Rattus norvegicus: one gene and its partner. The protein of the gene in region 2 interacts with the protein of the main gene of each other region in a pairwise test. Links are inferred from orthologs where the notes say so. Each region holds a gene or a part of one and is shown on either strand. Other genes may lie near its edges. The genes, in order: Lsmem1 and Lsmem2.

Region 1 (16,253 bases), on a different chromosome or scaffold from region 2:
GAATATAGTCATTTCTTTTGATTTGTCTGGCCAAGATGAATAGACATTTTCTTTCATGTCTCACGGGTAAGGTCATACACTATCCCTTCTCACAAGCTCACCTCAAACACCCAAAGGGGTCATATTATCGTCAACACCACCACCTCCTCTACTCCTAAATGAACTTAAGTAAGAAACACTGGGAAGACGTGCGGTTACATTTCTTATTTAGAACTGCTGAAGGCAAGACGGGAGTGGTGACACATGCCTATACTCCCAGAACTCAGGAGGCTGGGACAAGAGGATCTCAAAGTCAAGGCTAGCCAAGGCTAGCCTGACCTGTGTATTAAGATCCTGCTTCAAAAAGAGAAAACTTGTCAGATGCCAAAAGCATGAAAAGTCAGAAGAAACGACAAGACGGAAGACTCAAAATGGTGTCAAAGATAACACCCTCCCTATCCCCGGCTCCGGGTAGCATTCTGTAGTATGAAAGAATATAGCAATAATTACTGATAATAGTAAAAAAAAATAGTCATCTAAGAGAGAACTGTGGTAGCTCTGATGGAGAAGAATACAAACACACACACATCACACTTCAGGTAGATAGTTCCTCTTCTGATATCCAGACAGAACAGTGACATGATCAGCTTAGGGGTCTCTAGTCTGAGGAGCAGGTATGGGAAAACCTCTGTGTCATCAATTAAGGGTGACATGTATTGCCCAGGCCAAGAGTAGACAGGGCCAAAGCTAGCTGGCATCAAACAGGGCAGAAGTAACCCACCCTCAAAACCCCAGTTTGCACTAGCCATTAGTGTGAGCCCTTGCTACTCCAAACAGACCTCTGGGAGATATGCAAATGAGGAAAGATGAGGGGGTGTTAAAACCTCAGGAAACTGTGTGTTATATATCTAAATGTGATGAAGATATTTATGTGTTGAATAAAGAAAACTAAAATTAAGTAGGACACATTGCATATAATTTGGTAGCAGAGGCTCCGGGTGACAAATTAAAAGCTTACATAAATATTTAACATAAATGTAACCTGGTACTGCGGGAGCATGCCCTGGACTTGTAGCCAAGGACCCAGTCCAGGAGCAATGAACTGCCCTTAAGACACTGGGTCTCCCACTGGCTTCTTCTGGAAATTCTGATGGCTAGACTGCGCTAACTCCAGAAGCGACAGCTATAAAGGATGCACACACAATTAGAGACAGACTTATTAAGTACTTACTTATTAGGAAGATGGAGAAGAAGACCAGAGCCAGGCTGACCATCAACACCAGGAGCAGCCCCACAAAAAACATACCCTGCCTTCCATTTCTGGGAGTTGTGCCAGTGTTTGGGATTTTCTCCTCTAAAGCTGATGGGAAACAAAGTGACACAATCTCAGCATCTCACAGAGATGTGATGAACACACCCATTTCCATTTTCCCTGAAAGTGACGTCTGCATTAGGAATGTCTTTGGATGGGCAATTTTGGGGCTGTTTACCTTCTCTGTTGGGATTCAAAAAATGAGTAGGCTTGAGCTATGACCTTGAACCTGTTGGGAAGATTATTTGAAAACTGTTTGCTGTGGAGTAGAAGGGCACGAATTATTCTTTGGAGGAGGAATAGAAAATGGATGAGGCTGTACTGGCCATCTCCTAGGTAACTTAAACAGAGCTAGGTGTGATGCCTTCCCTGAGTGGACGAGCAAAAGCTGTGTGGTGTATCCCAGGAAGCTGCTTTTATTATCAGAATAACCTCTTAGGTCTATATCCATTGACAAAAGAGCCCCTGGGGTATTTGGTTTCTTGAAGCTATTTCCAAGATAGATCTGCTCTAGAAGTCAGGCTCTTCTCAATGCTTTGGGCCGGGAATTGTCTCTCACCAGGTGCTTTGTAATCCTCAGGTGCCTAAAAACACACAGGTAGCCTTGAATAAGAGGCGGAAACCCCTGGGGTATAGCAAGCGCCAATACACATATTCTGCTCCTCCCTGAATTGTCCCCACAGGTTATGCTGCGTGATTATCTAACCAAGTGCATCCCATGTTCCGGCCTGTCAACAGCTGCTGTTTCCTAACCCACGCCACACCACAGCTGACACCACACACCCCCATACTAAAAACAGGCCAGGATCTGAACAATGACAAAAGGAAGAACCCTGAAGAGACAAGAATGGAAATAGCAGCTATAGAACCGGACGGTAAGTGTAGAGTGTTCATGAAGGAAGTGGCAAATAGCCCATCCGTGCCTGTGTTTGAATAGTCGTCAGTTAAGCTAGAAAAGATGGGGTCCAGAGGGCCCAAAAGGCCTGGTTTCTAGCGCTTAGAGAGCCAGACACACTGTGTATTTTGGAGGTTTTAGGTTTGCTCTCGTGTCTCTTCCAGTACTTAATTGGACAATTTGTAATTGATAAGTAGAGAAGGGAGTTGACTTTTTGCACAACAGAATTTTAATGATTTTGAAAATAAATCGATGAATGTGTTGAGCATTTTCCTCAGTAATCTCTGATAAAAACAACACCCCTGGGATGCAGAGATTATATAAACCTAACTAACCGTGCTCACACAGAGGCCCAACAGCCGAGAGGGACTGAGCAATACCTGTACCCAGTAAGAAAACACCATAGCTTCTTCCTCAAAAGTTTTAAAGGGGAAAAACAGGACATGGAGCAGGGTCTTCCTATACAGGCAGGCTACCAGGAACTACCTACGCTAGCCCAGGCTGGCCTTACACTTACGATCCTCCTGCCTCGTGCTCCAAGAATAGGACGAACCACTATGCCTAGCTTCTCACAGGAATTGTGATGAGTTCAGCCCTTGCTGAGAAAGTCAGTGATGCTTTGACAGATTGGGGGCCCAAAATCAAAACTGCTAAATGAGAAACAACATTTCCAGTGCGCCCTTGATGTTTTTAGAAAGTCCCAAAGCCATGCTTCCAGGTTCACACATACAGAATAGATGCTGTGATTCCGTCGGACAGAGATTGAGTTTGTTTAAGTCGTTTATGGAATCCACGACATAGAGTTTTCCTTCTTCATGGACGTCATGAGATCCAGCATCCTGAGAGGAATGAGTCATTGTGCCTGGAAGAAAGCACCAACATTAGGAAGAAGAGGCTGGGCTGGGAGCTGCGTAAGCCAGAACGGGAAGAAGCTGGATAGGCTCATGAGTTACCATAGCCCATCCACAAATGCTGGGCTAGAGGAGAGACACGCTGTGTTGGACAATGCTGGCTATTCCTTTGCCTCTGCTTGCCTGAATCAAGTGTGTGGTTAGGACACAGCCACTCATACCCTGTAACCCTCTTCTCTCCTCCTCCGCTTGTCCACTTCTATCTTCTTTCCTCTGGGTCTGTATTTTGTTTCATAATTGCCTCTCAAAATGTTTTCTCCCCATGGTTGCTAGTTTAATATGCTTCAAGTCCTCTGTACAAAAACACAAGCTAGTCAACAAAATGACCGTAAAACAGACAAATATTTAACTATGAGTCCTTCTAATTTCCTAATTTCACACAGACACACCACACACACACACACACACACACACACACACACACACACACTCTAACATACTAAGAAATTCTGGATCATTGAAAGATGTAAAAAGGCTTCCAAGACATATATTTAATGACTAAGGAAGTTCTTTTTCTCTTCATAAGGTGAGTCAGTGGTGATATGAAGTCTGGTGTCTAAAAGGCTAAAATTTTAGAAAGACAAGGTAGGGGCACCTGTGTCTGGTGGCTTATAACCATCTGTAACTCCAGCTCTGGGGGCTCCAACTCCTTCTTCTGGCCTTTTTAGGCACCCGCACTCACATGCACACACTTAGACACAAGGATACTTAATTGAAATAATCCTCAGAAAGAGGAGGCAGCAGTAAATGGGCCTGTCTATATAGGTGGCCACAGATTTGTTCCTGATAACCATTCTCTGAAGAGATTTCTCTTAAGACCCAACCATAGAGTTCGAAGAAACCAAATGGAGAAGACTACTAATCTAACCATAGAAAATCTGGGGGAAAGCATCACATCCTTCCTGAACTCCTTAAACTATACTATCAACCAAAAGCCTCACGGCTAGAGACATGGCTCAGCCATTAGGAAAGCCTGATGCTCTATTAGAGGCCTTGAATTTGGTTGGTTTCTAGCACTCACGTCAGGCGCTCACAACCACCTTTAACTCCAGTTCCAAGGAATCCGACCTCCTCCTCAAGCCTCTGAGAGCGCCTACTGCGCATGCTCGGCGGAGGGGTGGAGGGGTGGAGGGTTTCTAAGTAGCACCCACAAATTTAGTGGCACTTGTGTTAAACATATTCATAGATTCCTAGCTGAGAAACACTGTAAGATCAGAAAATCATGCACTGGGTTTTTTTTTTCTTCATAAATCCAAACTGTGTGTTTTCATTATCCTGAAATTTTAATTGGAAAGAACGCATGGATGGAGTTATTACTATAAAACACTTTAAATATTGAAATTATTGAATTTCAAATATGCTGCATGGAGCAGTCCGAAGAGAATGACTTGACATGATACAGTTTAAAAACAACACCAGCAGCAGCTGTGAGGGAAAGGGTCTTAGCGAGCAAACCATACCCCTTGGAAGATAAGCCACGCTCTCAAAGTGCTGTCGGACACCTAGACACTGGGCTCTAAAGCACTCTTCCAGAAGTGCTTTCTGTTTCATCACCCCCTTGTACTTCATTATCCCAAACACTATTGTTGTTTTGTACGGGGGTGACCAGGGAAAGAAAGCTGTATGTGTCACGTGGTAGGATCACTGTTGCAAACACAGCTTCTATTTTGGGCGTGGTAACTGAGACAGTTCATTTCTGAATCTGACTTAATATCCGTTTCCCCCTCAGGAATGTCACTAGTGTTGCAGAGAAGGGAGGGGAGGGGAGAGGAAGGGAGGGGAGGGGAGAGGAGGGAAGGGAAGAGGAGGGGAGAGGAGGAGCCGGGAGAGGAGAGGAAAGGAGAGAACTAGTTACAAAGTAGAAAACTAGCTACAAAAGTCATTGCTAAAAAGTCCTGCTTTCCTGACCTCATAGGTAGCAATGAATATCCTAGTAAGAGCACCAGTGGAAGGGGAAGCCCTGGGTCCTGCTAAGACTGAACCCCCAGTGAACTAGACTGTGGGGGGGGGCGGCAATGGGGGGAGGGTTGGGAGGGGAACACCCATAAGGAAGGGGAGGGGGGAGGGGGATGTTTGCCTGGAAACCGGGAAAGGGAATAACACTCGAAATGTATATAAGAAATACTCAAGTTAATAAAAAAAAGAAAAAAAAGAAAAAAAATTGAAAAAAGTCCTGCTTTCAAAGTAGTAGTCCAGTTAATAAACTTTTCTTGCCGCAGACTAAGAAGGTGATGCCAGGAAATCTAAGGGACGGAGACATGGCACTAAGCCTGGAAGACTGAACTTAATCTCCTTCACTTTCTGTTCAATGAGAACCGACTCCTGCAACTTTTCCTCTGACCTCCACACAAGCGTTGTAGCGTGAACATGCCCCTCCCACCCACGTAATTAGAATAAAATCCGTAGTAAAATTTGTTCAAGATTTTTCCTAAATCTAAGATAAAACAAGTAAACAATGGAGTGCTCTGAAAAACATGTTTACAGTGAGCTCACACCGTGGATGTTTTTTCAATAAACCTTTTCAATATTGCAACATGTTAAAATGAAAGACAAACTAGTAGAGAGAAAAAAACAGGGGCCCCCATGGCCCCCGAGAACCTGCAGGTGGCTTGCCAGGGACTCTGCCAGGAAATGGACACAAGGACACGTCTTGAAAACCAGAACCCACTGCTGTTGACACCAGCGGTTGCTATCTTTGGCAGCTGAAATGAGGCCATCCGGGAACAACCACCAAGGCCCGTGAAGAGTGTCACTAGCCATTCCGTGTCCGCCTAGCTCGGCCTTCCTGCCCAACTCCACTGTGTAGATCAGCCTGTTCCCAAACGGCCAAGGCAGCATCCTTTGGATGGAACCATTTCTGATCCTGGAACTGAGACACGTAAGTAGCTTCATTTCCCCGTGCTCCCGATCACTGCTAACAGCTGAGCGTTTATCATTTAATAATTGCTTGATTTTTCTACACTTCAACAAATTGTCCCTGAAAAAACTCGTTCCACACCGCCCCCACCCCCAGAATAACCCACACCATACTGTATGTTACCAACTCAAACTTGTTTACCAGTGAAGGCTGAATTCAAAGCTTAATGAGACACCTCCCTGAGTGAGTCATGGCCATTTATGAGCAGCATTCCTAAGTTCATGCTTCAGTGGGGAGGTAATTTTTAAAATCAAGTCTACATCTTTGCAGTCAGCAGTTGAAAAGCACCGAACACAGGCAATGAAAGTCCCGATGACTCAAGAATCAACATTCTGCCTCAGTAAGGAATAGCATGCGAATTACTTACGAAGACGTGATCCTGGACTGCTCAGTTATCCGGAAACGACAACTATTCAGGAACAACAACAGCAAAACTTTCTACCAATTCTGTAGTGTGTTCTTGATCTCCCTGCTGCTCACGAGTGCTCCCCTGAGGCCCATAAACCCAGCACATAATTGGTAGTCTATATTTAGTGTAAATTTAGTCAAGAGCTGCAAGATTCCCTGCACTGGCTTCCCCTATAATGTCTAAGAGTTTTAGATATGCATCGCTGAAACTTGGCTTTAAAACAACAAACCAGCAAGCCTTGATTTCGGTTGGTAACTGTTGTGGTTCTTATTAAGCTAGAAGTCCTTATTCAGTGGACGTGGCTGTATCAGCTGACAACACATTCCTAGCACTTCTGCAGGGGTGTGCTCCTGGGTATAAATACCCCGCAGGAGGCAGGAGCTACCACGGGGACAGCTGGTGTGCAGGGACTCCAGACCAAGCAAAGATCTCAGTAAACAGCGAGGATAGTTGTGATAATACAACTAGCAGAATGGCTGGTGTGTTCCATTTCCATTCCTGTATCAAAGTATCCAAAACAGGTCAGCTTTATAGAGAGTAAAGGTTTATACTAGCCCACCATTTTAGACCTCTGGCCTAGGCTTGAAGCAATAGAAAACATGGTAGTGGCTACAGCTGAAAGAGGAGGCTTGGTCTCATGAAGCCAAGAAGCGATGGAAAGAAAAGGTCGATGACTTGTCTTCAAACAAGCCTCACACCTAACGGTCTACCATCTTCCACTGGTTCTAGGCTGGTGACCAAGAAAGCCTTCTACACCTTTCTTTAGGGAGACTTTAGAGACGTAAACTATAGCAGCAGGCCCGGGGACTCCTGGGCCTTCAATTAGCTACAAAAAGTGTTTGTGAGTGCAAAGATTGCACACTTCAGCATTCTTTCCAAAATTATCTCTTCTTTTTTTTTTTTTTATCTTTATTAACTTGAGTATTTCTTATTTACATTTCGATTGTTATTCCTCTTCCCGGTTTCTGGGCCAACATCCCCCAACCCCTCCCCCTCCCCTTCTATATGGGCTTCCCCTCCCAATCCACCCCCCATTACCATCCTCCCCCCAACAATCACGTTCACTGGGGGTTCAGTCTTAGCAGGACCCAGGGCTTCCCCTTCCACTGGTGATCTTACTAGGATATTCATTGCTACCCATGAGGTCAGAGTCCAGGGTCAGTCCATGTATAGTCTTTAGGTAGTGGCTTAGTCCCTGGAAGCTCTGGTCGGTTAGCATTGTTGTTCATATGGGGTCTCAAGGCCTTTCAAGCTCTTTCAGCCCTTTCTCTGATTCCTTCAACGGGGGTCCTGTTCTCAGTTCAGTGGTTTGCTGCTGGCATTCGCCTCTGTATTTGCTGTATTCTGGCTGTGTCTCTCAGGAGAGATCTACATCTGGTTCCTGTCAGCCTGCACTTCTTTGCTTCATCCATCTTATCTAGTTTGGTGGCTGCATATGTATGGGCCACATGTGGGGCAGGCTCTGAATGGGTGTTCCTTCTGCCTCTGTTCTAAACTTTGCCTCCCTATTCCCTGCCAAGGGTATTCTTGTTCCCCTTTTAAAGAAGGAGTGAAGCATTTGCATTTTGGTCATCCTTCTTGAGTTTCATGTGTTCTGTGCATCTAGGGTAATTCAAGCATTTGGACTAATAGCCACTTATCAATGAGTGCATACCATGTGTGTTTTTCTGTGATTGGGTTACCTCACTCAGGATATTTTTCAGTTCCATCCATTTGCCTATGAATTTCATAAAGTCATTGTTTTTGATAGCTGAGTAATATTCCATTGTGTAGATGTGCCACATTTTCTGTATCCATTCCTCTGTTGAAGGGCATCTGGGTTCTTTCCAGCTTCCGGCTATTATAAATAAGGCTCTTGCTTCAGTTTTGATCACTGTTTTCTCCTTCCCAACTTTATAATCTTCAAGTACTAGTCCTCCAGAACTGGGAAACAGCCTAAGTACTCCAAGGCCAGAGGATAAAGTGGCAGAGATGAAACAACTCCACACATCTATCCCATCACACCTGTCTGAAGGGGCCTGGCTTTAGTTGAACTCCTAGACAATGACTTGAGTAAGATATGACAGCTCTCTCAGTATCTGAAGGTGCTTTAAATTTTGAATCAGTAGAAACAGAAATTGTCTATCGTGGGTCTTTGCACTTCCTTTCAAATGTCCCTCATGTTATTCAGTCAATTCCCAGGAAAGCCAATAAATGCCTTCACAGAGTTGAGTCACCTGTTGTTGACTGCTTCAAAATTAATTCTTGTGCCACAGCAATCTGGCTGAGAATCAGTGGTTGGCTGGCTGGCCAACCACAGAGCCCTTCACTACCTTCAACTCAATTCTTAAACACCAGGTTCTCAGCAATCTTTACCAGCAGAAGTTACTCAATGGTTTCTTTTTTTTTTTTTTTAAGATTTATTTATTTATTTTATGTACAGCATTCTGCCTGCATATGTGACTGCAGGCCAGAAGAGGGCACCAGATCTCATTACAGATGGTTGTGAGCCACCATGTGGTTGCTGGGAATTGAACTCATGACCTCTGAAAGAGCAGTCAGTGCTCTTAACCGCTGAGCCATCTCTCCAGCCCTACTCAATGGTTTCTTAAGGTTCCCATCTTTGTAGACTCAAGCATGGGTTAAGTGCTCTTATTTCTCATCCCTCAAACCCTAGTTTAAAAAAAAAAAAAAAGCATAGGAATATGCCACAAGATGAAAATAGGAATAAATACCAGAGTTCAATAAATGTGATGGGAAACTGAGGTGCCTGGATTTGCAGGCACTAATTCTGCAACCCACTAATGATGCAGAATTAGGCTCAGAGCTAGGACATAAGAGTTAAGTATAGGGGCTGGAGAGATGGTTCAGTGGTTAGGAACACTGACTGCCCTTCCAGAGGTCCTGAGTTCAATACCCAGCAACCACATGGTGGCTCACAACCATCTGTAATGCGATCCGATGCCCTCTTCTGGTGTGTCTGAAAACAGCTACAGTGTACTCATATAAATAAAATAAATAAATCTTTTTTTAAAAAAAGAGTTAAGTATGGACTAAATCAAACTGAAGCATTTGTCAAACAATGGTCCACTGAAAAGGAGATGGAGATGCCTTATCCCTTGGCTTAGTGTTGACCAAGGGATTTTAAGGCTCAGGGAAATTGCAATGCTAGAGTGGATACATTGTGTAAAACCTAGTCCTCCACAGTGGGAAGGCCCAGAAGATATATACCCTTCACGAATTCTATAAGATGCAAACTGGTGAGAGGAGCATCAGCACACTTGAATGGATCTGTTCTTGCCCTTTTCCTTGTGCCAGACCTTAGGGTTGGAGATGCTGCTGCTCAACTGGATGAATTAAATGCAATGGGTTTAATTGGGCCCTGAGGTAACAAGGGCTAGGTGGCAGCATTGAATCACCAGAGACAAGGTGATCGAGGTTATTATAATGGACATCGTAGACAAAATGTTTATGACATAGCCCGTAATGGCCAGCACAGGAAAGGTGAAATTTATAATGGCATGACTTGTTTGGACCTTTGGTACTGGCTAATCAGTCATGGTGTCTCCAGGCATGAAATTGATAAAAGTCTACTGCTTATTTGTTTGATCTGTGTAAGCAGAAAAATTCTCAAACCAATGAAAGAAAGGCTACATTGGATCATGGCAAAAGGCAATCTCAGCCAGTGAATCAGTTTCCAGACTTGAGCCAGTTTGCAGACCCAGAACTTCTTGAATGAAGGGGTGGCCAGGTTCCCCGGAGGAAGGATCTTGATTAAGACATCTGAAAGTTTTGCTGTTAGCCTTTCTCCAGTTCCCCCCCAGAGGGACCTACGGCCTTTTACAAGGGTAACTGTACACTGGAAAGGGAAATAATCAGACTTTCTGGGGTCTATTGGATACTGTTTCTAAATTGACACTAATCCCAGGAGACCCCAAGAAACATTGTGGTCCTCCAGTTAAAGTAGGGCATGCACAGCAGCAGTCTATTATCAAATGGAACTGATACATGATCAGGCCTAAGCAGGTCCTGAAGGCACAAGTAAGTTACATGAAGAAGTTGCTCAAATGCCTATGGTCACTACTCCTGTTATAATGCCATCTGCTGCCAAGCATGCGCCTATAACCTCATGGGGTGTTCCCTATGATCGGCTGACTGAAGAACAGAAGAGTAGGACCTGGTTTACTGACGGCTCTGCACCTTACGCCAGCACTACCAGAAGTGGACAGCTGCAGCTTTACAACCCCTTTCTGGGACAACCCTGAAAGACACAGGTGAAGGAAAATCTTCACAGTGGGCAGAACTTAAGGCAGTACACACGGTATTACAGTTTGTTTGGACGAAGAAATGGCCAGACGTACAATTGTTCACTGACTCATAGGCTGTAGCCAATGGATTGGCTGGATGGTCAGGGACTTGGAAAGATCATGGTTGGAAAATTGGTAAGAAAGACATCTGAGAAAGATGTGGATAAATCTCTCCAAATGGGCAAAGGATGTGAAGATATTTGTGTCCCGTGTAAATCTTCATCAAAAGGTGACTTCAGCTGAGGAGGAAGGAGTTCTATAATCAAGTGGATAAAATGTCCCATTTTGTGGACAGTCAGCCTCTTTCCCCAGCTATCCCTGTCATTGCTCAATGGACACATGAATAAAGTGGCCATGGTGGCCGAGATGGAGGTTATGCTTGGGGTCAACAACAGGGACTTCCAATCACCAAGGTTGACCTGACTACAGCTGCTGCTGAATGCCAGATCTGCCAACAGCAGAGACCAACACTGAGTCCCAGATTTGGCACCATTCCTCGAGGTGACCAGCCAGCAACCTGGTGGCAGGTTGACTACATTGAACCACTTCCTCTGTGGAAAGAACGTTTTGTTCTTACTGGAGTAGATACTTATTCTGGTTATGGATTTGCCTTTCCTGCACGTAATACTTTGGCCAAAACCACCATCCATGGACTTAACAGAATAATGCCTTATCTATCGTCATGGTATTCCACACAGTATTGCTTCTGACCTAGGAACTCATTTCACAGCTAGAGAAGTGTGACAGTGGGCCCATGATCATGGAATCCACTGGTTTTACCATGTTCCCCATCATCCCAAAGCAGGTGGTCTGATAGAAAGATAGAATGGCCTTTTGAAGACGCATTTACGGCGCCAATTAGGTGGGAGCAGCATGGAGGGCTGGGGAAAAGTTCTTCAGAAGGCAGTATATGCTTTGAACCAGTGTCTGATATATGGTCCAGTTTCTCCCACAGCCAGAATTCATGGGTCCAGGAATCAAGGGGTGGAAAAGGAAATAGTTCCACTCACTATCACTCCTAGTGACCCTCTAGGAAAATTTTTGCTCCCTGTCCCTACAACTCTAGGTTCTGCTGGCCTAGAAGTTTTGATTCCAGACAGGGGAGTGTTCCTACTAGGAGCCGAAACAAACATTCCATTGAACTGCAAGCTCAGACTTCCCCTGATCATTTTAGACTTCTAATGCCCTTAAACCAACAGGCTAAGAAAGCAGTGTTAGGAGGGGGTGATAGATCCAGATTACCATGGGGAAGTTGGATTGCCTCTCCACAATGGAGGTAAGAAGGATTGTCCAGAGTGCAGGAGATTCCTTAGGGCGTCTCTTGGTACTACCATGTCCTGTGATTAAAGTCAGTGGGAAACTACAACAGCCTAATGCAAGCAGGACGGCAAAGGACACAACACAGACTCATCAGGAATGAAGGTATGGGCCACTCCTCCAGGAAAAGAGCCAAGACCTGCTGAGGGGCTTGCAGAAGGCAGAGGAAGTACAGACTGGGTAGTAGAGGAAGGTAGTTATAAATACCAGCTAAGTCACATAACCAGTTGCAGAAATGAGGATTATAAATATGAATGCTTCTTCTGTTTTGTTAAGAGCATGTTTGTCTTTCTCCCAATTTAATATCAACTGGTATTTAAGCTTTGATACTAAAAGAGTGTTCCCAAGGGACATTGTGCCATTGTAAATTTACAAATGCACTTGTGATTGTACGAGGAAGTTATTTCATGTTAGGTGTATTCATGACCTTGTTATCGTTTCATGTGGACATGAGATATTAGTGTCAAGTTGACAAGGGGTGGATTGTAGTGGCTATTCCTGGGCTGTCAACTTGACTCTATCTGGAATGAACTACAATCCAGAATTGGAAGGCTCACCTTTGATCCTGAGCTTGAGGCTGGGAGATACAAGTTTCTAACCTGGATCTTGAGGCAAATTGGCTATGAATCCCAGGAGATTAAGGCAAGGCGATCTCTGATCACCTGGGACAAAGCAAGTCCCAGACCCAGGCACTGTGGCACACAACTTTAATCTGGGACACACCTTCTGCTGGAGATTTACATAAGGACACTGGAAGAAGGAAGTTTCTCCTTTTGCCTGCCTGTTTGCCTTGTGGGACTGAGCAACCACTAGATCCTTGGACTTCCATTCACAGCTACTGATCACTGTTGGGGAGTTGGTCTACAGACTGTAAGTCATCAACCAATTCTCTTACTATTTAGAGACTACCCAAAAGTTCTATGACTCTAGAGAACCCTAAGACAATGTTCTACACAGAAATTTGCAAACCAAACTTTTGGGCTGGAGAGAAGGCTCAGTGATTAAGAGCACTGACTACACTTCCAGAGGTCCTGAGTTCAATTCCTAGCAACCACATGGAGGCTCACAACCATCTGTAATGGGATCTGATGCCCTCTTCTGGTGTGTCTGAAGACAGCTATCGTGTACTCACATAAACAAACAAGCCTTTAAAAAGAAAAATCAATCTTTCAGTTAAGACCTTAAAACAACTGACCCTTTCTGTATTCATTCCTATGGAACTACAGGTATGTCACCTAAGACAAGAGGTGTGAACTTGGATTTGAAAATAAATCCAAAGGATAACCTCAACGTTTCAAGAAAAACAGTTGTACACTTGGGTGAAACTAATTTATACTGAACTGATACATAAAGAACCAAATTTTAGAAATTTCTTTAGTTAGGAAAGAATTGGTGGCAAGCATCTAGTGTATGTGTATAAAAGTCCAAGTAAATACCACTTTACAGCAAACGTTTCCCCCAAATAAACTGACGTGTGATCTCTTCACCTGTTAAGTTAAACAATGCCTTAAAAATAGTAAACCAAGAAATTGCTATCAGTGTATAAACAGAAATGTGAATGGTAGGCAGGAAACACCCAAAAAAGGGACTGATGGAAGAGAAAAGAGGGCTTTAGAAGCCTTGAGGTAAACTGTGATAAAAACTCATTAAAACATATACACAAAGCTAGGGGTAAAATGCTTTTCTGGAAAGTGCAAGTATTGATTTTGATACTCAGAAACCACATATCAACCTGGCCACTCAGTTATGGAGAGGTTGAAACAGGATCCATTTCCAGAGAAAGATAGAGGGTTCCTGAGAAGTTAGCACTCGTAGGTGGACACATTTAACAAATACATACTCAAAACTGAAAATACAAGGGCAATGTTTCCAGTGTTAGCCTACATGAAACGAAGGTAACAAAGCCAACTGTAGGCTGCAGTGTGTTCCCCAATGTGCTCTATCTGAGGGCTGGAACTGAAAGCCACAAACAAGGCAAACAGACGTCCCCCTAGCCAAACATTCCAGTTTGTTGGGAATACTAAACAGTAACTTGGGGGAAAAAAACAACCCAAGTGTCATGTTTCCTAGCCCCACCGTCTGCATCATGAAAACAAGAGTTCATGTACCCTGAACTGCACTCATTGAAGATATGTGGAGATTAATGGTTGTTTTATGCACTGCCAAAATTAAAGGTGAAAAAGCACATAGCACGTCCTACTCTTGGCTCGTGAGGGTGAAACTTGGCAGCCTTTCTGGCATAGCTAATTAGCATCAATTCCCAACACCTGACTGAACACAGGGCTCGACCGCAGCATGGAATAATGCCTTTGATGAACTGACTGATAAAAATCAAAACATCAACCTTCCACTGAACCCATTCCCCAAAACTACAAGCGCCATGTGTGTATCATAATCTGTCAATACTTCTGATTAGTGTAAACAAGTAAACCTTATTGTGAAATACCATCTGCTCACTACATAGAATATGACCAAGCATCACAAACACTTTTATTTGTGGTTATCAGTTATTTTTACAGAATAAAGAACTCATTAATTTGTAACACTGTACATTAAATTAAAATATAACCCATCCCTACATCAAAAATTATCTAAGTTGACCAAGATAAAAAAAGTCTCTAAAAGCTTATATACATTAGAAGTAGCAAAAATAATAATAAAGGAAGAAATTAGAAAACAGACATCAAAGTCAGACATCTAGAAGAATTCTCCAACATCTGCTCTCTTATCTCGGCATTTGCTTCGGGCTTTTGTTCGAGCTTTGAAAGCTGCAGAGTTATATAAATGCTGAAATAAAAAAGAAAATATATATGGATCAATAAGACAAGATATTCTTATAAACAGAAAAACAAATTAGGGGGAAAATATAAAAACCACAAAGGAACTAGAGAGGTTAATAGGTACACATCATCCTATAATAAAGTGCATGAAAATTTGGATACATCTTACCTCAATAAAAACCAAACCACACTTCAAATTTGTTATCTTAAAAAGGAAATGGTGGCAATCACTACTTCATGCTATAGACTCTTGAAAATGAATGAGCCTGGCACTCCACTAAGTTATTGCCCAGCACAACAGAATCATGCAAACATCCCATCACCAGGCAGAACCACAGCTTTGGCTCCATTTCTCCTCAAAGTATTTAGGACTAAAAACCTGAAGAGAAACCATAGAAGCTGTGCATTTTGTTTTAAAAAACAAAAACAAAACCTACCCTTTCAAAACGAGGAATCTTCATGGTTTTAAGTGTTGCAGCATCGAGCATCACAGGGGGTCCCAGCTCAAATACATTGCGAAGGAATTCATTTGTCTGAAATGACCAGAGAAGAGGTAAAGCCTGCATCACATATCTAACTCACTACACAGTGATCTGACTACAGAAGTGAATCACATGTCTCTCTCAATCCAGACAGTGATGATCTGACTATGACTACAGAAGTGATAGGCTTTCTGAAAATAAAATGAGCTTTCTGTTTTGTCAGCATGAACACAGAGTATTCTCTAACGCCTTAGATTCTAGGACTATGTAAACTTTCACAGAGCACAAGTAATACTCCAGCAGATGCTTACTGCTTTCTAATGCCTGGATGCATTCTGGCTATCAGGCTAACTTCAAAAGCCAGTCTAGCCCTCTAATTCCACCCCACCCACTTAAAGCAAGGACGCCACTCACCTGCAAGTGGTACTGCATCCCTGATCCAAGAGCCTCTTTAAACGTGTCATAGGTGTGCTTTTTGACCCAGCTATCAATATACATGCGCTCAGGACCGAATTTAACAGTTTCTGTTGGAAAATCCCGTTCCTATTCAACAGAGGAGCCAAAATTAACAATCACACGCCCTAAAATGGCCCAAACACAATTTCTATTCTAAGAAAATACTGATATAAAAAAAAAACAGTATTTGAAATTGATACTTCTTTATCAAAGATGTAGTCAGGCTAAAACTACTGCCTCCGTGCAAGAGGGCAGGAACCCCATAGAACTATAGAAACTACGCAACTGATAAATTGGTAACAAACCCAGTTTTGACGATCTTAAACCTTCAAAAGGAAGGAAATGTGAAGAAAAGGTCAAGTGCTTCTACTGGTGTAGGATGGGGAAGGGGAGGCTGCCAAACAGAAATGGCACACGACAAGGAGTGAACTGAGTGAACCCCCAGGGACCTAACAGGTTAAGGGGACACGGAAAAGCAACCAGGAGTTCCAAGAAACCTCAGCCAGGTT
Region 2 (16,253 bases):
TTAAGCTCTAAGATCTGCTAAATGCTAAGCTATTATCTGTATTTTCATCCATAAAGTCACTTTCATTACTTGAAGTTTGTCTGTTCTCACTATTCTGCCTAGCGTCAAACCCTGGCGCCTCAAGACAGGTGCTTTGTTACCAGAGCCTACAGATGCTTCCTTCTAGGGAGGAAGGAAACTACTGAGTTAACTATGAGCCCAGACGCCGCGCGGGCGGAGGTAGAGGAAGGAGGGGCGAAGTGGGTACGCAGGGCATTGTGGGTACATAGTTTAGCTGGAGCGGCGTCGGCTAATTTGTCTCCAGAGTGGACTACTACTCCCGTCGTGCACTGCGCGCAACTCGGGCGGTGCTAATCTGTGTACGCTGACGCCTGGGGATAGTAGTTTCGGTCGCGTGGATGTGGATCTGAACTTGGTGGCCGGGAACTCACCTTCCCAGCGCCCCATTTGACAGGGCGGGGCGCCTCACGAAGATGGTGGCGCGCGCGGCGTGTGGCTCCTGTCGTCTTCGCGAGTCTCAGCTCAGCACACGGACCAGCGTTTCGCTGGTTTGGAGTCCCCGCCCCCCGGGTCCCTGACCCCGCGCCCCCTTCCCTTGTCCCCAATTCCGGGTTCAGGAATGCCTCGCGCTCGTAAGGGCAATGCGCTCCGCAAGGGCGGTCAGCGCCGTGGAGGAGGTGAGTCCGGGGGCTCCAGTAGAATTGTTCTGTAGTGAGCGGGGGTGTTCCGTGGTTCCCCTTCGATGTCATTGACGGTCCTGAGTTGACGATCTTCCCAGATCAGCCCATCGTAACCTCCCAGAACTCTGCTAAGGCTCGCACGTGCCTCAGCTGGCATTGGCCACGTGTGCGCCTCACTTGAGCTCATTGCCAGCTGTTTTTCGAAATCCCGCGCCGCAATGGTGATTTGATCAGCATTAAGGATCTAAGTTCTCCCACCGCCACTGGGGTAGACAACCACACTAGAAAGAGCGTGAAGCCAGCCGTTTTGCCAAATACTAGTGCATTTGGTAGCCTGCACAAGGAAGTTAGTAGAGAGACCTTGTCTGTCCTGTAAAACGGGGAAGTGTAATTGGAAAGGTACAGAATGGGGCTCTTTCAATTGGGCTGGAGACCGGGTGGACATCAAAGAACCCTAAGCAGTCTGGAGACTTCTTATCAGCCTCAACCAGAAGCTTGTCCCGTCGCCGCCCTAAACAAGCAACTGCTGAGAAGGAGTGCCTGCCGAGCATACCTTTGACCTGACTGCTACCCTAATGTGGCTTGGGTCTGGGGGCATTTAATAGGGTGCTGACAGTTCCACAAAGACTAGAATGGACAGCATTTACTGAGTGGTCTCAGAAAGAATCATGGCAGGTCCTGTGAAGGGGGCTCTTGGATAAGACCTGAGAAGATAAAGACGCTCTGGTAGGGAACCTGTGCACAAAGGCCCGGCAATCAAAGGGACCACAATACAGTGCAGCAAATGAGATTGTCTGGGGGGGTTTTGACAAGTAGGATAGTAAGAGAAGAGGTGCACAGAAATCAATGTGTGGGCCGAACTTTTTCCTACAAGCAGGTAATGTTAGTGGTCCCTAAAAGGTAAGGTCTGCTGTTAGGTCAGAACCTGCCCAGGGCGCCTATCATAGAAACTACCCTATTCAAAGCCAGTCCTCAGCCCTGGAGAGAATTCACACACGGTCTGTTCTGCCCCTACTGACACATTGAGATTCCCTGTGTTTACTTTTTCAAATGCTCACACAGTCACAAGCTTCTGGTCTTCCAAGGCTAAAAGGTGCCCTGTGTCCATACCTGAAGTTGGTGGCCCTGAGTGGACCAAAGGAAGCTCAGAAAACAATGTATTTGAAGCACAAGGTGCCCAAGCACATCCACTAGGACCTGGGCCAGAGTTGATAGCATAGTGAGTGTGATGGCTTGTGGCAGAGCCATTTCGAGTTACTTGACTTTATTTGCTACACCTGAGAGGTGTACTTTGCTGTCCATACTTTAAAGGCTGGGCAACTCATCAAATTATACCTCTGCTAAAAACGAGGAGGGGGAGGGGTGCTAATAGTGCAGCCCAACGGAGTTCACCAGACCTTGGCTCAGTTTAAACCCCTGTCTGTCTGGTACTATAACCTGAGCCCTAACCCTTGCACTGTCTTAACCTTTTGACCGTACCCTAGAGTGGGCCACAGGCCTCGCTGGGACTCATCCCAGTCCCCTCTGCCACTATGTGGTTCCTGCTGTCCTTAAAGCAGACTGTGCCCACCAACCAGTGTTAGCACACACCTTTAATCCTAGCACTGGAGAGGCAGAGGCAGGTGAATCTCTGTGAGTTCGAGGCCAGCCTGGTCTACAGAGCTAGTTCTAAGACAGCCAGAGCTACAGGAAGAAACCCTGTCTAGGGGTTGGTGAGGGGGGAGCTGGGCCCTCCTGGGGTCCCCCCTCACAGAGTCTTTCAGGTTGTCCCCGGGTAGGCCTAGCTCCTGTGTCCTCTAGCAGATAGACTTTCTTCCCTTTCTCCTGCTTCCTAATTCAAGTCATAGGTACCAGGCCTTGGTTTGCATCTTCTCTGAGATGGGATAGCATTCATGAAGTTAAGTGAGGTACCCTGAGTCATCCCTCACCAGTGGAAACTGCTCAGATAGGGACTTCTTTATGTTCCCCAGGTGCCAGGAGCTGTACTCAAGCTGACTCGGGTTCCAGTGAGGACGACGCGGCCAGCGAGGCCCGGAGCACCACCAGTGAATGTCCCAGCCTTCTCAGCACCGCCGCAGAAGACTGCCTGGGTGAGAGCAGGTTGAAGTTTGGCAGGGGCTCGAGGACGGCTCCACTGGACAAGGGCAGGATCCAGTGATGACCGACTGGCTTTGCAGGTGGGGAAGCTGTGGACGAACAGAGCCAGCAGGAAAACCTGGAGGAAAAGCTGAAGGACTATGTGGACTGCCTGACTGACAAGAGGTACCCCTGGCTGCTGGCCAACTCCTACACTTGGGGCCCCGTTCAGCCGGTGACAAATGGAACCAAGGGCTCCCGTCACCCACACGAACCCTTTTTCACCTCCCAGCGCCAAGACCCGGCAAGGAGCTCTGGAGAGCCTGCGCGTGGCCCTGGCCTCCCGCCTACTTCCAGACTTTTTGCTGGAGCGCAGCCTCACTCTGGCCGACGCCCTGGAAAAGTGCCTTAAGAAAGGTCAAGTCCTGGGCACTTGGGGAACCCTAGCTAGGCAGGTGTTGACGCTTGCTGCATGCGCTAACTGCAAAGCATCCTGTAGGGAAGGGTGAAGAACAGGCCCTGGCCGCTGCTGTACTAGGCCTGCTCTGTGTGCAGTTGGGCCCTGGACCCAAGGGCGAGGAGCTGTTCCATAGCCTGCAGCCCCTGCTAATCTCGGTGCTCAGTGACAGTACAGCAAGCCCCACTGCCCGGCTCCATGTGAGTATTTCCGTGCCCCGCCGCTGGTCCCTCATCCCCGAGCAGGGTGTCGGGTTCTCTGTCTTCAGATTCTCTACTCAATACGATGTTCCCGGTGTTGACCCACGGTGGCCTAGCTTTGTCCTCTTTCCAACAGTGTGCTTCTGCTCTTGGCTTGGGCTGCTATGTGGCTGCCACCGATGTCCAGGTAAGTGGACTTTGAACACAAGTGGTGGTGCAGCTTAGCTCCGTAGCTCTGTCTGTGAGCCACGCCTGTCTCCCTGTCCTCCTAGGACCTGGTCTCTTGCTTGGCCTGCTTGGAAGGTGTTTTCAGCTGGTCCTGTGGCACCGGCGGCTCTGCTGCTTCTCTGGTTCCTGCCAGCCTACATGGCCTGCTCTGTGCCGCCCTGCAGGCCTGGGCATTGCTGCTCACCATCTGCCCTAGTACCCACATCAACCACATCCTTGACAGGTAGGGGCTGCTGCCTCCTGGGAGCGAAAGGGAATTTGGGAAGGGACCCTCAGTCCATTCATGACGCTTAGCTTTCCCTGTCTGTAGGCAGCTGCCCCGGCTGCCCCAGCTCCTGTCCAGTGAAAGTGTGAACCTGCGGATTGCTGCTGGTGAAGCCATCGCCCTGCTCTTCGAGCTTGCCCGGGATCTCGAGGTGCGAGGGACAGGAGAAGGAGCCGGCTGGCACTGCCGACCATCCCAGGCTGTTTGCAACGCATGCCGCGGGGTGGGGTGGGGGTGGGGATATAACAGCAGTCTTGGGTCATTTGCAGGGGAGGTGACCCTAACTCTTACTCACATGCTAGTTACTGTAGTGGGGATTCTGTGTAGGGGTGAACTGCTAGGGAGAGGCTGAGGAGGGGCTAGGCAGAGAAGAGGAGAGAAGCGAGTGGAAGAAAAGCCTTGGGGAACACCTCGCTCAGTTCCAAAAGAGAAACTTCCACCCAGTGCCTCCATCGTTCCCACACAGGAGGACTTCATCTATGAGGACATGGAGGCTCTGTGTGGATCTCTGCGGACTCTCGCCACCGACAGCAATAAGTACCGTGCCAAGATTGACCGTCGACGCCAGCGCTCCATTTTCCGAGCCGTGCTGCACTTTGTTGAGGTGTGTGTGAGAACATGAGTGTCCCATAAAAATATGTCCCCGAGGGTTAGGCACCTGTAATCCCAGCACTTAGGAGACAGAGGCATGGTGGTAAATTCCAGGACAGCTAGGGCTACATAGACCCTGTCTCAACACACACACACACACACACACACACACACACACACAGGCACCAGGCATGGCAGCCAATCCCAGTAGGGCCCTCTATTCTCTAGGGCGGTGAATGTGAGGAGGAAACAATCCGCTTTGGACTGGAAGTGCTCTACATAGACAGCTGGGCTCGCCACCGCATCTACACAGCCTTCAAAGATGTGTTGGGCTCCGGCATGCACTATCACCTCCAGGTGAGGGGACACAGGGAGGGCCACCCAGCCTGACCGCTTCAGACTGGCCGTAGCTAACTGCCTTGTTTTTAGAATAATGAACTTCTCCGTGACATCTTCGGCCTGGGCCCTGTGCTGGTGCTGGATGCTGCTGCCCTGAAGGCCTGCAAGATTTCACGTTTTGAAAAGGTTTGCATCTTGGGCACCTTTATCTTGCCTTCTGTTACCCGGAGGTCTGGAGCTGTGAGTAGGCTTCCTGGGTTCACCGTGCTCCCTTCTTTGCCTCTTCGACAGCACCTGTACAATGCTGCGGCCTTCAAAGCCCGGACCAAGGCCCGGAGTCGTGCAAGGGACAAGCGGGCGGATATCTTGTGAAGTAGATTGGCCAACGAGAAGGCTACCCATACCCCTACCATATTTTTAACAGAAGACAGTGCAAGAACTGGTCCCTGCCAGTAATTGTCACTTTATTTTTTTAATAATGAAACCAAAAATAGACAAATGTGGGAGGGTCGAGGGATCAGGACACTTACGACTCAAGCCCTTTGTACGTGCACTCAGCCATGTGGCTGAGGCCTCTTCCTGTCCTGTCTCAGGTGAAACCAAATGTGTGCTGGTCCTCGTGGTGAGGGTGAGAAAGGGCTGTCCCTTGTGTCTTTTAGACCTTGCCCCCTGGGTGCTTCCTTTCAGGTCTGGCACCTGGCCACTGTGGCATTAGGGTAGGCAAAGCTGCCTAGAATGGATGCGTGTGCTGATTTATTAAAGATAAGAGATTAAGCAACACCTAGCCCCCTGTGGCCTCTCTCCTGAGTCTTTTTTTTTTTTTTTTTTTGTTTTTTTCTTTTCTTTTTTTTCGGAGCTGGGGACCGAACCCAGGGCCTTGCGCTTGCTAGGCAAGTGCTCTACCACTGAGCTAAATCCCCAACCCCTCTCTCTCCTGAGTCTTGTGCCTGCCCTCCCTCCGTCTGCCACCCCAGGTTGGCCCCGACTAGCTCTACCTCACCTTTGTCCTCCATGGCAGGACATGTAGTTCCCCAACTCAGCCTGGCTTGCCTGAGCTGAGGCTGGACCCCCTGCTAGGAGGCCTGGCAGAGTGGGTGGCTGAGCTGGGACAGCTATTTCTAGACTTCTGAACTTCCTATCTGGGGGTGACCAGAGGGTGCTGACGGGGGACCAGGAAAAGACTGGTGCTCCATCCTCTGACCTTTGGCTAACCACAGCAGGGCCTTGGCACCAAGAGCTTTGCTCAGGCCTGGCCTGAAGCGGTCAAGAGAGACAGGCAGCTGTGGAGGAACGTCAGGCTTGTGAAGAAATCTCCCCAAGGAATAGTGCAGATGAGGCCATCAGTGGGAGAACAGAGACCTGCCAGAAGTCCCTTTGTCCCCCATCACAGTCTCACATACAGATGGTATCTCAGCTGGGTGCCCGAGCCTCACTGGAGTTGAGCCTTCTTAGCTGGCTGAGGCTAGCCAGACGCAATTTGAGCAGAGTCTCCTCTTGTGTGCGCAGCGTGTGTGCCAACACCCTCAGGGATTCACTCTGCAGCACTGGGGGTGGGAAGACATTTGTGGGACCTTGTTAGACTCCATGCCTCCTCAGATCCCCACATGGCCCTGCAATGGGGTTGCCCACTGACCCATGCCCCACCCTTTGTTGCTTCATTTCCAGTTGCCCTGGGGTCCCAGTTCTGCCTGTCCCTACCACTTAGGTAGACAGCTACGATGGCTAGTGCCAGGCAGGTGAACACTAGCAGTGCCAATAGCAGAAGGAACCCCCCACGGCCACACATGGGGCTGCAAGCAGCTTGGGTGCACAGTGACGGTGGTAAGACACCCAGAAGCTCCTCCCAGGCCTGCGCCTCTTCAGCCAGACAGGGCCGTAGTGAGCCTGCAGGGAGAGCGATTCGTTGGAAAGTGGCACCCAAAGCATCCATCTTGCTCCCTCCCCGAACGCCCTTACCTCCACTGTGCAGGTCACTGATGGACTCCACTCGATGCAGATGCACCTCCTGCACGTGGTTAGGAGCCAGTGTTGGCCTGTGCCTCTGGTTCTGCATTGGCAACACAGTATCTACAGGGGCAGTGGAACAATTGGAGCAAAGAGTCCTTACTTTGTAGGCAAACTGGGGCTGTAGGGACTTGGGATATGAGGACTGCACCTGTGGCATTTGGTTCCAAATTCCCTACAGTTTCAGGAATGACTCTTAGTTTGGGTCCAGGGCTCCGTGCACAGGGTCTCTTGACAGGCTCCCAATGGCCACATTTGGGCATTTCCCCCGCTTTGCCTTGCCTGCGTATTCCTCCTGGCCTCTGTTCTGCCTTCCTGGACAGTGGTTCTGCCTCTCTTCCAGGAAGGTTGGAGTCCTGCTGTTTTGCACTCAACAGCATGGCAGGAGTCCACTCTCTCTCCACAGTTTCATGCAACTTTGAGGCCTCCTCCCCATGGCTTCCCTCTGAGGCTATCTGGGCATTTTAGGTAGTTTCCAATTCTCTGTGGAATTAACCCCCAGGACATCCATCATTAAATAAGAAGGTTTTCCCCACTTTCCTGAAAGTTACTGAGGGCATTTCTCAGAAGTTGAAATCACTGGACCCAAGAACAGAGAGTTCTCTTTGAAGCTATCATCAAAACTGTCTTCTAAAAGGCCTGTCCAGAGCCCAGCAGTACAACATCGCACCATTAGGCATCCCACTGTGGGGAAAAGTGTGTTTGTGTGCATTGTGCCTGCACAGAAGCCAGAGGTCTTGCTGACCTGGCTCGGGAGCTCAACAAACAGCCTAGGCTCACTATGGAGCCCCAGGAACTCTTAACCTCACCAGACCTGGGATCAGAAGTGTATACCCCGTGATCTGCAGTCTACCTCCCAGACTTAAAGACTGACAGACAGCATCTGATTTTTGTCTTGCTTCTGAGCATGTCATGGGGCAGCCTCACACACATCATGTCCCCGGAGAAATGAACTCAGGTCTTCATACCTGCTAGACAAATCTTTTACAGAACCATCCCCAGACCCTGTATGCACATACCTTTACCTGTATTTGCTAATTTAAGATGAGAAACAGCTTGCCTTGATTGCTGCCTGGGGAGGCTGACCACGGGTGTAATTACCATTCACAGGTTCTGCCTATGTGGTCACTGGCCACGGTTCCCTTGCGGTTATATTTCAGATTTGGTTTTGTTTTGAGATAGTGACTCACTGTGCTGTCCCAGAACTCATTGCCTAAGCTAGGATAGGCTTAAAGTCGAAATTCTCTCGCCTCAGCCTATTACTGGTATTAAATGTGCGCGTCTCTCTCTCTCTCTACCCAGCTTTGTTATGTGTTAGCGACATGTGCGTGGTGAATGCTCGCTCCCATTTAGACGCTTGCAGCTGCCCCATCTCTTACTCTCCACCTTATTCCTTGAGACGGGACTCTTCCCAAGTCCAGAAATCAGGGGGGTTTGTTTGTTTGTTTGTTTTTGACAAGGGCAGCAACCAGCAAGCTCCAGTGACCTTCCTATCTTCCTGTCCCAATACACACAGCACTGGGGTTCTAAGGCACACAAGACCACACCCAGCTTGTCGCCTGGTACTGGGATCTGAACTCAGATCTCCTGGTTACAGCAAGTGTTTTTAATTACTGAGCCATCTCGTCCTCCTCCCGCCCCCTCCCCTGTTTAAGACAGTCTCAGCAAGTTTCCAGACTGGTATTGAGTACCTGGTTAATTCATGTGATCCCTCTGCCTCAGCATTCCAACTACTACCAAAATAGTTGTGATTTCTAAATAACTATAACTATACTTTCTGCTGGTGTGTTTGTTTGCTTAATTAATTTTCAAAACAGGGACTATGTAGACCTGGCCGCCTAGAATTCAGAATATAGACCAGGCTGGCCTTGAACTCACAGAGATCTGCTTGCCTGTACCTCCTGAGTGTGTACCACCAAGGTCTTTTTTTTTTTTTTTTTTTTTTTTGGTTCTTTTTTTCGGAGCTGGGGACCGAACCCAGGGCCTTGTGCTTCCTAGGCAAGCACTCTACCACTGAGCAAAATCCCCAACCCCCCAAGGTCTTTTATTGGATGTTTGTTACTTTGTTTTGTTTTGTCTCCACTCCACAAGAGCTCCAGATGCCTGCCAGGAACCTAGGTAACAGTGTAGCAGAGAACTGGGTAAGGCTGGCTGTTGGTCCTCTGGGCCCTCCCATCTCAGGACAGTAACTCAGCCCTTTATGACATGCTTGAAGCTGCCCCTTGCCAGGCTCACAAGCAATTCAAACAAAAAACCCGAGGCTGTCAGTCCTTAAGCCCCGGCAGTAGACTCCAAGCCACATTAAACCTCCTCTTGGCTCCTCACTGTGCTTCTCCCATAACTTATATTTGGACATGTTTTATTCGCTACAGAAAAAGACACATGGTAGGTGTTACAGTTAAGTCTCCCCGTCTCCCCCCAAAAAGATAAACACCTTCCCTTAGTAGAGAGCAGGCCCTTTCTCTGCAGCATAAAATATTGAGGGGGGACAGGATGGCTCAGCAGGTAAAGGCACTTGACTAGCTAAGTGTCAGCCTTGACCAGGCTGAGAGGTGTAGGACAGCCTCTCTACCTCATAGTCCCCTGGGCCAGGTGTCCAAATGTTCCCTGGAACCAGTCTTCATCCCAATCCTGGCTTCTTCTAGAAAGGGCTGCTTAGGAGCCCCCTAGATGCCCACACTTGCTTGGGCACAGCCTACAGCTGACCTGTTCCTAAGTGGAGAGCTTTGAGCCCCTCCCTGAGCCAGGACCTTAAGTGGAGGAGCCTTAGGTATTCTTTCTCCGTACATAGGGTAGGTCCCTAGGGCTGAGGTAAGAAAAGACTGAGGGTTCTCCCCATGAAGCTAGGTCTCTCCTTGACCCATAGGACTTGAGCCCTGTCCTCCCCAGTGGCCACCCTCTCCTACCTTCTTGGATCTCCTCAGGCATGGCAGTTGGTAGGTAGTCAGAGGCCCAATGAGAGTGCCCAGTAGCAGAACTGGACAAAGGCAGCAGTGGCTTCTTTCAGATTCTAGGAGAGGCCTGGCTGCCTCCCAACCTGGTCTTGAAATAGGCCTGAGCTCACTTTCCCTGAACTATATTTAGAGAGGGCAGCTCTGAACCATGAAAAGGGGCAGAGTGACCTGGATGGGCCGGCCTAAACTACCTACTTAGTGATGGGGCTCAGCCAAGGGCAAGCCTCTGCTAGCACATGGACAGAAGGAACTTCTCGGAAAACCACACCAACTTTATACACACCCAGACTTGGGAGCCTTCATCCCAATGCTCAGCACGCACCATGCAGCATGGTAGCAAAGGAACCCTGCACAGGTCCGCTCAGCCATCCCTCTCTCTCAGACCCTTTACCCACAGACTAGCCATCTCCTCCCAGCAATTGGAGACAACCACCCACCACTGTGTGACCATCTAGTACCAGATACTGGGGGTGGTGGACTGGGTGCAACTGGAGCCCAATGCCAAGGGTCTGGCAGCTCTACAAGGGCACCCATACAGTGGTCAGACCGGGATTAGAAACTGCTATTTCTAGTATTAAACTATAACCATGGGGAAAAAGAGTGGCCTTTACTTTTCTACCTATAGAATAGGAACAAGGGTTCCTGGCCAACCGTACTGAGAATACAAATGCAGAGGAATGGCTTAAGAGTTAGACATAACGGTCTTGGCTCTTGTCTCCTCTCCATAAGGCCATGTGGAGGCCTGTTGCTCACTCTTGAAGGGTGCCGTTCCAGCTTGCAGCCTTAGTCTGTGAGTGAACTCTGTTCTGCTTCTTCACAGCTGTGCAAAGCAAGACCATGGCAGGTCTACCTTCCAAACCATTCGGAATCCATAGTGTGATACCATATCAGCCTCCTTGGTGTTCCTCAGACAGAGAGGGTTTGTCCCCCGCTCCAAGACTTTGGTCCTTCTAGTCTGGAATGTTCTGTCACTGGACATCTGTGACTGGCTCCTTTCAGCTCAAACATCACCCACTCAGTGAATTCTTAATACATTCTTGCCCACAACATCCAGTATTGTTTGTTTGTTTGTTTGTTTTGTTTGTTTGTTTTTACTTCAGAGAGCTTGGCCCTGCTGCTAATGCACTGAGCCCCAGAGGCTCATTAGAACCAGCGTAATCATCTACTAACACTTTTAATCTCCACTACAGCCTTCTTGGATGGGAAAAGTACAGGCCTTGAGACCGCTAGGACAATGTCCGAGACCCCCAGCAAGGTCTAGGACTAGCTGCTATCTGCTGGGGCCATTCCAACATCAGCTGATAATGTGTTTATTGTATTACTTTAGTACAGTTGGCCTGCCTCACCCCACACTGGACAGCCTAATCTGTTCACAGCTTTCTCCTCGATGCCCAAGAAAGAGAATGCTTTCCCCAGGGCTGCCACCCAAGACATCTCTCTGGTTCCGCTCCACTCTGGAGCCCCACTTCTTGTCCCCTCCCTCCAGGTTAGATCCTGAATTGAGCTTGGGCCACTCTTCCAGGAATACATTCACGGGTTATCTTGTTAATAAATAAGCTACACTTGGGCCAGGGTTCATGTATGGGTTAGTTGTCTCCGTTGGCCCAACGATCTCAGTGTGCCCCAGCCACAACTCATCTGTCTTCCTGGCATCTATCTGCCCCCTCTTCGGTGTGTCATATCCAGCCTGGTCCCCAGTATGGGGACAGCCGAGTCACCAGTGAGCTGCGCTACGTGGTCCACGTTCAGCACGCAGCTCAGAGACATGCATCCGCCTGTTGCGACCCTTACGACGTGAATCTGCTGCCACAGAGTGGGGCCCGGGCTGCGGGCGGCACATTCGCAGGGAGTTTGCACCTCCACCACCGCCTGGCTCCACCAGCTGCAGGAAGTCCCGGTACCAGAGTTTAGGACCTGGTGGTGCGGGAACTGCTGCCTCCTCTGCCCTCGCCAGTCGTTCAGCCTGTGCCGCACTCAGCACGTGCAGCACCAGGCGACGCAGTGGTTGTGAAAAGCCTTGTTCAACCGCGACGCACAGATACACGCCAGAGTCCTGGCGCCGCAGCCCCCGCAACAGCAGCCCCCGTGCAGTGCGCTCTACCCGCTCCTCAGCCAGCACCTATGTGTGAATGCAGGAACAGAAACAAAGGGTCATTGGAAGCCAAAGGTGGACAAAGAAAATAGGTGCTGGCACTTACTCATTTTAAAGGGTATGAGCACAGGAATAGGTAGCCTTTAGAGGATGAGTCGATCTAGGTGAGAGGGATCACTTGAGTGGGGCATGGGGTAGATTAGAAACGTCAATGCGTGGGGCCTTCTCTCTCCAGATAGTAGAGGGTGGGTCAGGAGTCTAGTTGGGCACAGTGAGGCGTCACTAGGTTGTAGAGTGCAACTAAGGACAGAATAGGATGAGACCTATGATAAGGGTATCTGAACAGGGCCTCACCGAATGGGATTTCACATAGGTAAGAGGTACAGGTCAAAGGCCTCCTTAGGCAGGGGATGGCTTCTCTTAAATGGGCCTGGTTAGGAAGGGTGGAGTGAGGCACACCTGGGTGTGAGCTGCCTCCCCTGCACGATGGAAGGTCCATTCCACATGCGCCTGGAGCGAGCGGGGCTCACACTCCAGAAACGCGCTGCCCCTCTCCACACCTAAGACCTTCCTCTCCAGCAGCACAGAGTGAGAGGGGTCTTGAGACAAAAATGTAAAAATTCAGACAAGGCAGGACTAGATGTAGCAATTTCAAGGCCTGGGGGTAGGAGCTGATGGGGTACTCACCCCCAGAGCACAGGGTGCTGGGGTTGCCATTCCTTATGTCTTGCCTCCGGAACCGCCTGAGGGAGGCATTAAAACCTATATGAGCCCTTCTCTGCTGGCAGCAGAGACTCCCTCCCAGTAGCGCAATCCAGACTCCAAGCCAATCCAGCCTCCAGACCCACCTCTTGGCAGTAGGCTGGAAGCGTGTGCAGGCTGATCCATCCCAGGCGCAGTAGGGGTCACGGGCCAAGCAGCATTCTGCGCAGGCGCGGCCTAGGGCAGGGCAGCGATGTAAAGCAATCTGGGCCACTGCGCTGGGTGATGCTATGTAGAGCTGGTGCTAAAGGGCACAAGAGTCTCCAGTCTGATTGAGGACATCCCTTACCTGGCTCCCTTCAGTCAAATAGCCATTTCCCCCCATTGGACATGTGGGAACACTGAGGTCTCATTGTCTAGCAAAAAGAAGCTAGACCTGAAACTCTGGGCTTTGAAAACCGAAGAGAAACAAGACAACTCAGGTGCTGTGGGACAAATTCAGTTCCTCCCCAAGTTGAGTTACTCACCCTTTTCGAGGAGATTTGCATGCTGGTGATAGCAGCAGAGTCCTGGAAGGGAAGCAGGGCAAATGGATCAGGGCTTAATGGCTTCAGGTGATGTGTCCTAGGGTGACTAGGGTTGAGGCCTCACCTCAAACACCTGCAGCTCTTCCAGGAGAAGTCCTTCCGAGTTAGGTCGGCTGCCCTTGGGGACTGAGATGACTTTCAGCACCGTGCCCACATCTGAAGAAAAGAAAGGAAAGAGTGACTATTGGGTTTCCCTAACGAGCCATGTGTGTATATGTGCGTGTGCGTGTGTGCATGTGTGTGTGCGTGTGTGTGTGTGTGTGTGTGTGTGCATGCATGTGTGTGTGAGTGCATGCACATGTGCTCTAGCCCTGTGCCCTCTACCTTCATCATGATTGGGTCATGAAAAAGTAACAGTTATGGGTTGAAACAATGAGGGGAGACCTCAGAAAGCGGGGCCACAGCTCAGACAAAGATGTAGATATTAGATTGACCAAGAACAACTTCTACTCTGGGCCAAGGAACCTGGAGGGGCTCTCAGTCCTGTGGGCACTGTGGTGGGACCCTGACCTGTGCCGATGAAGAGCACATCGTAGTGTCCATCGGCTGCTGCTACCCGGTCTGCAGCGATCTGGGTGAAGGTGTACCCAGCTCCCACTTGTAGGAAGAGAGGGCGCCCCCCCATGGGCAGGACTGAGTTGTACATGAGGGGGTGGTTCCGAGCAAACTGGATAACATCATCTGGGAAGTCCTTGGTGGAGCTGAAGGTGCCAAAGGTCTTGCTGGGGCACTAGAGAAGGCAAGGCACGTCAGACAGAGATACAGGGCTTTTTGTCATCAGTCCTCCATTCAAAGCCTCTGGGAATGTGAAAGGTGGGACTCGACAAAGGGGCTGAGTATCTGAGCCTTTCCCTGGTGAGCCTTAGGCTGAGGGGGCACAGCCTTCTATGATGGCGGCATTTCCCCCAACCCATACCAAAAGAAAGAAATCACACAACACCATCACTACCCCTGCCAAAACCCCCAGGCCAAGTCAAGTTCTCTACCCTTGAGACTTGCTTACTGCAGGCAGTCCCTAGCAACGTACCATGCCAGGTCTTGGGTAGGGTACCCGACCCTGGTAGGACACCCACTGATGTGTAGGCCCCTCTTTGTGAGCAAAAGGTCCCAAGAAGGCTCGGCGCACGTCGTTCATGCTGTACACGCACACAGCAGAGCCCTGGAAGATGCCACTGGAGGCAACAAGGACAGCGAAGTGAGCAACCCCAGCAGGCTCAACTGACTGCCCAAGGGAACTGCTACCTGCCCCTCACCTGGAGGTGGAGAAGACAGCATAGAGAAAAGGTGTCTGGCGGTCTCGGGAGGACAAAAGGAAAACATCCTCTGCAGAGAAAGACAAGGGAGGTGGTGGGGCCATACACATACACCTCAGGCTCCTGGACTCTGCACCCTGACTCCTCCCCTGATGTCGCCCGTCATTCAAGACACTCACGAAGTTGGTCAAAGTGGGTGTCACCCTCAACTCCAGGTACTGAGCATACAAGCCGCGCCTTCAGAAATGTGGTCCACTTGTTGACCAAGCTCCGCTGGCCACCCAGGTCATTCTGCTCACAGGATCAGAAGGGATGAGAACAAGACCATAGCAGGCAAAGGGTCAGGGGCAAAGGTAGCCAAGGGATGAATTGGCCCAATGTCTCCTTACCCGGCAGATCTGACCAACACGAGACACAGTCATGCGCCCCATTGCTGGTGCCGCTTCCACTGCGGACTCACGGAAGAAGAAATAGATTTTATCGTCATCAGGGTTCTCGCTCTCTGGGATCCAAAAGACCTTGACAAACTTGGGTTCTAGCCAAAACAGACGGCACGGTATCAGCGGGTCTTGTTCCTGGTCCTCCTCGACAAGGACACACCCCCACCCCCGCACACACACCCCGCACCCCCCCCATTACGATCAGCATCTGCAAAGCAAGAAACTGCCACGAGGGGGCAGTAGAGACCACAGCTTCGAGCGCAAGTGGGCTGCCCCCTCTCCCCTCTGCAGGAGTTCTGACCATGCCACACTTTTCCTTAATTTGCCAGGAGAAGAGGGAGATTGGGTATCTGTTTTCACCTTCATTCACAAATCTTCCTCCCTGGCAGATCAAATACTCCCTGTTCCTGCTTCAGTTCCTCCTGCTGTCTGTCACATAGTAAAGGACTCCAGACCTTGAGAGTCTGGGTTTCCTATCAATACTGGTTGTTTGAGCCTTATCATTGCTGGCTCTTGTCTCAGGGTCTTTGCACTAATCGTTTCCCTTACCTAGATGCTCATCCAATTCTTTGGCTGGGTTTCTTGTGTTCTGGAAGCTACTAATAACTCACAGCTCCTTAAAAAAATAGCTTTCCTTATTCAACCCAGACACCTTTTTCCCCTTTCTGTTCTTTCACCCTTATTTTTAAAGATCTATTTATTTATTTTATATAAGTACACTATCACTGTCTTCAGACACACCAGAAGAGGGCATCAGATCTCATTACAGATGGTTGTGAGCCACCATGTGGTTGCTGGGATTTGAACTCAGGACTTCTAGAGGAGCAGTCAGTGCCCTTAACCATTGAGCCATCTCTCCAGCCCCTCCCCTCCCCTTTTCTTTTTCTGTTCTTTCATCTTTCATGGCCACAGGAATGTATCTCATCGTGTGCTTTCTCTGAGACCCACGGACTCAGACTCTTGCCTGCCTCTGCCTCTGTGCCTGTCTCAGGTATAATAACAGATACTCGGAGAGACTTCAACAGTGCTCTCTTGCTTTCTCATTTTCTCATCTCACCTTCCCTATCGGAGGAGGGCAGTCTCCTCCCAGGGGCCCCACCAGCATCTCACCATTGAGCCAGCGGGAATCATGGGGCTCTGTTCGGAGACTCGGATTCTGACCCAAGCTTCGAAAGATGGTAAAGTCCCGGCCCATAAGGTCCGCCGCCACCCCGGAATACAGCTCTTCCCCTGCAGACAGGGCAAAGGGTTGCTCAGCCAGCTATGAGCTCTCAGAGTAAAAGTGTGTAGGGCGCTCTTGGGGGCGGGGGGGGGATGGTGCTTGGGGGGTCATGGCTATAGGGCATCTGAGGGGGTGCCCTTGGGACACATGAAGTTCTAGAACT

What was found.
Region 1: the proteins of Lsmem2 (region 2) and Lsmem1 interact in binary tests that used the Homo sapiens proteins (3 or more experiments, as listed by UniProt). The two-hybrid records come from large-scale screens. The link is inferred for Rattus norvegicus from reciprocal best matches to the Homo sapiens genes LSMEM2 and LSMEM1.

The regions. Positions count from the first base shown.
Region 1 is NC_086024.1:62,982,068-62,998,320, forward strand, and holds the start of Lsmem1 (leucine-rich single-pass membrane protein 1), read right to left. Parts: upstream 6,684-16,253; 5' UTR 6,382-6,683; intron 3,049-6,381; 5' UTR 3,044-3,048; coding exon 2,917-3,043; intron 1,340-2,916; coding exon 1,211-1,339; intron 1-1,210. Other genes in the region: Ifrd1 (interferon-related developmental regulator 1), read right to left, coding at 14,724-14,813, 15,244-15,339, 15,703-15,831.
Region 2 is NC_086026.1:117,139,219-117,155,471, forward strand, and holds Lsmem2 (leucine-rich single-pass membrane protein 2), read right to left. Parts: upstream 10,083-16,253; 5' UTR 9,769-10,082; coding exon of another isoform or gene 9,747-9,768; intron 7,324-9,746; 5' UTR 7,221-7,323; coding exon 6,992-7,220; intron 6,904-6,991; coding exon 6,793-6,903; intron 6,721-6,792; coding exon 6,535-6,720; intron 6,381-6,534; coding exon 6,247-6,380; 3' UTR 5,280-6,246; downstream 1-5,279. Other genes in the region: Ifrd2 (interferon-related developmental regulator 2), read left to right, coding at 620-677, 2,651-2,770, 2,858-2,942, 3,049-3,173, 3,256-3,413, 3,550-3,600, 3,686-3,864, 3,952-4,057 and 4 more; Sema3b (semaphorin-3B precursor), read right to left, coding at 11,509-11,913, 12,346-12,485, 12,574-12,629, 12,735-12,892, 13,116-13,157, 13,240-13,331, 13,686-13,905, 14,203-14,347 and 4 more.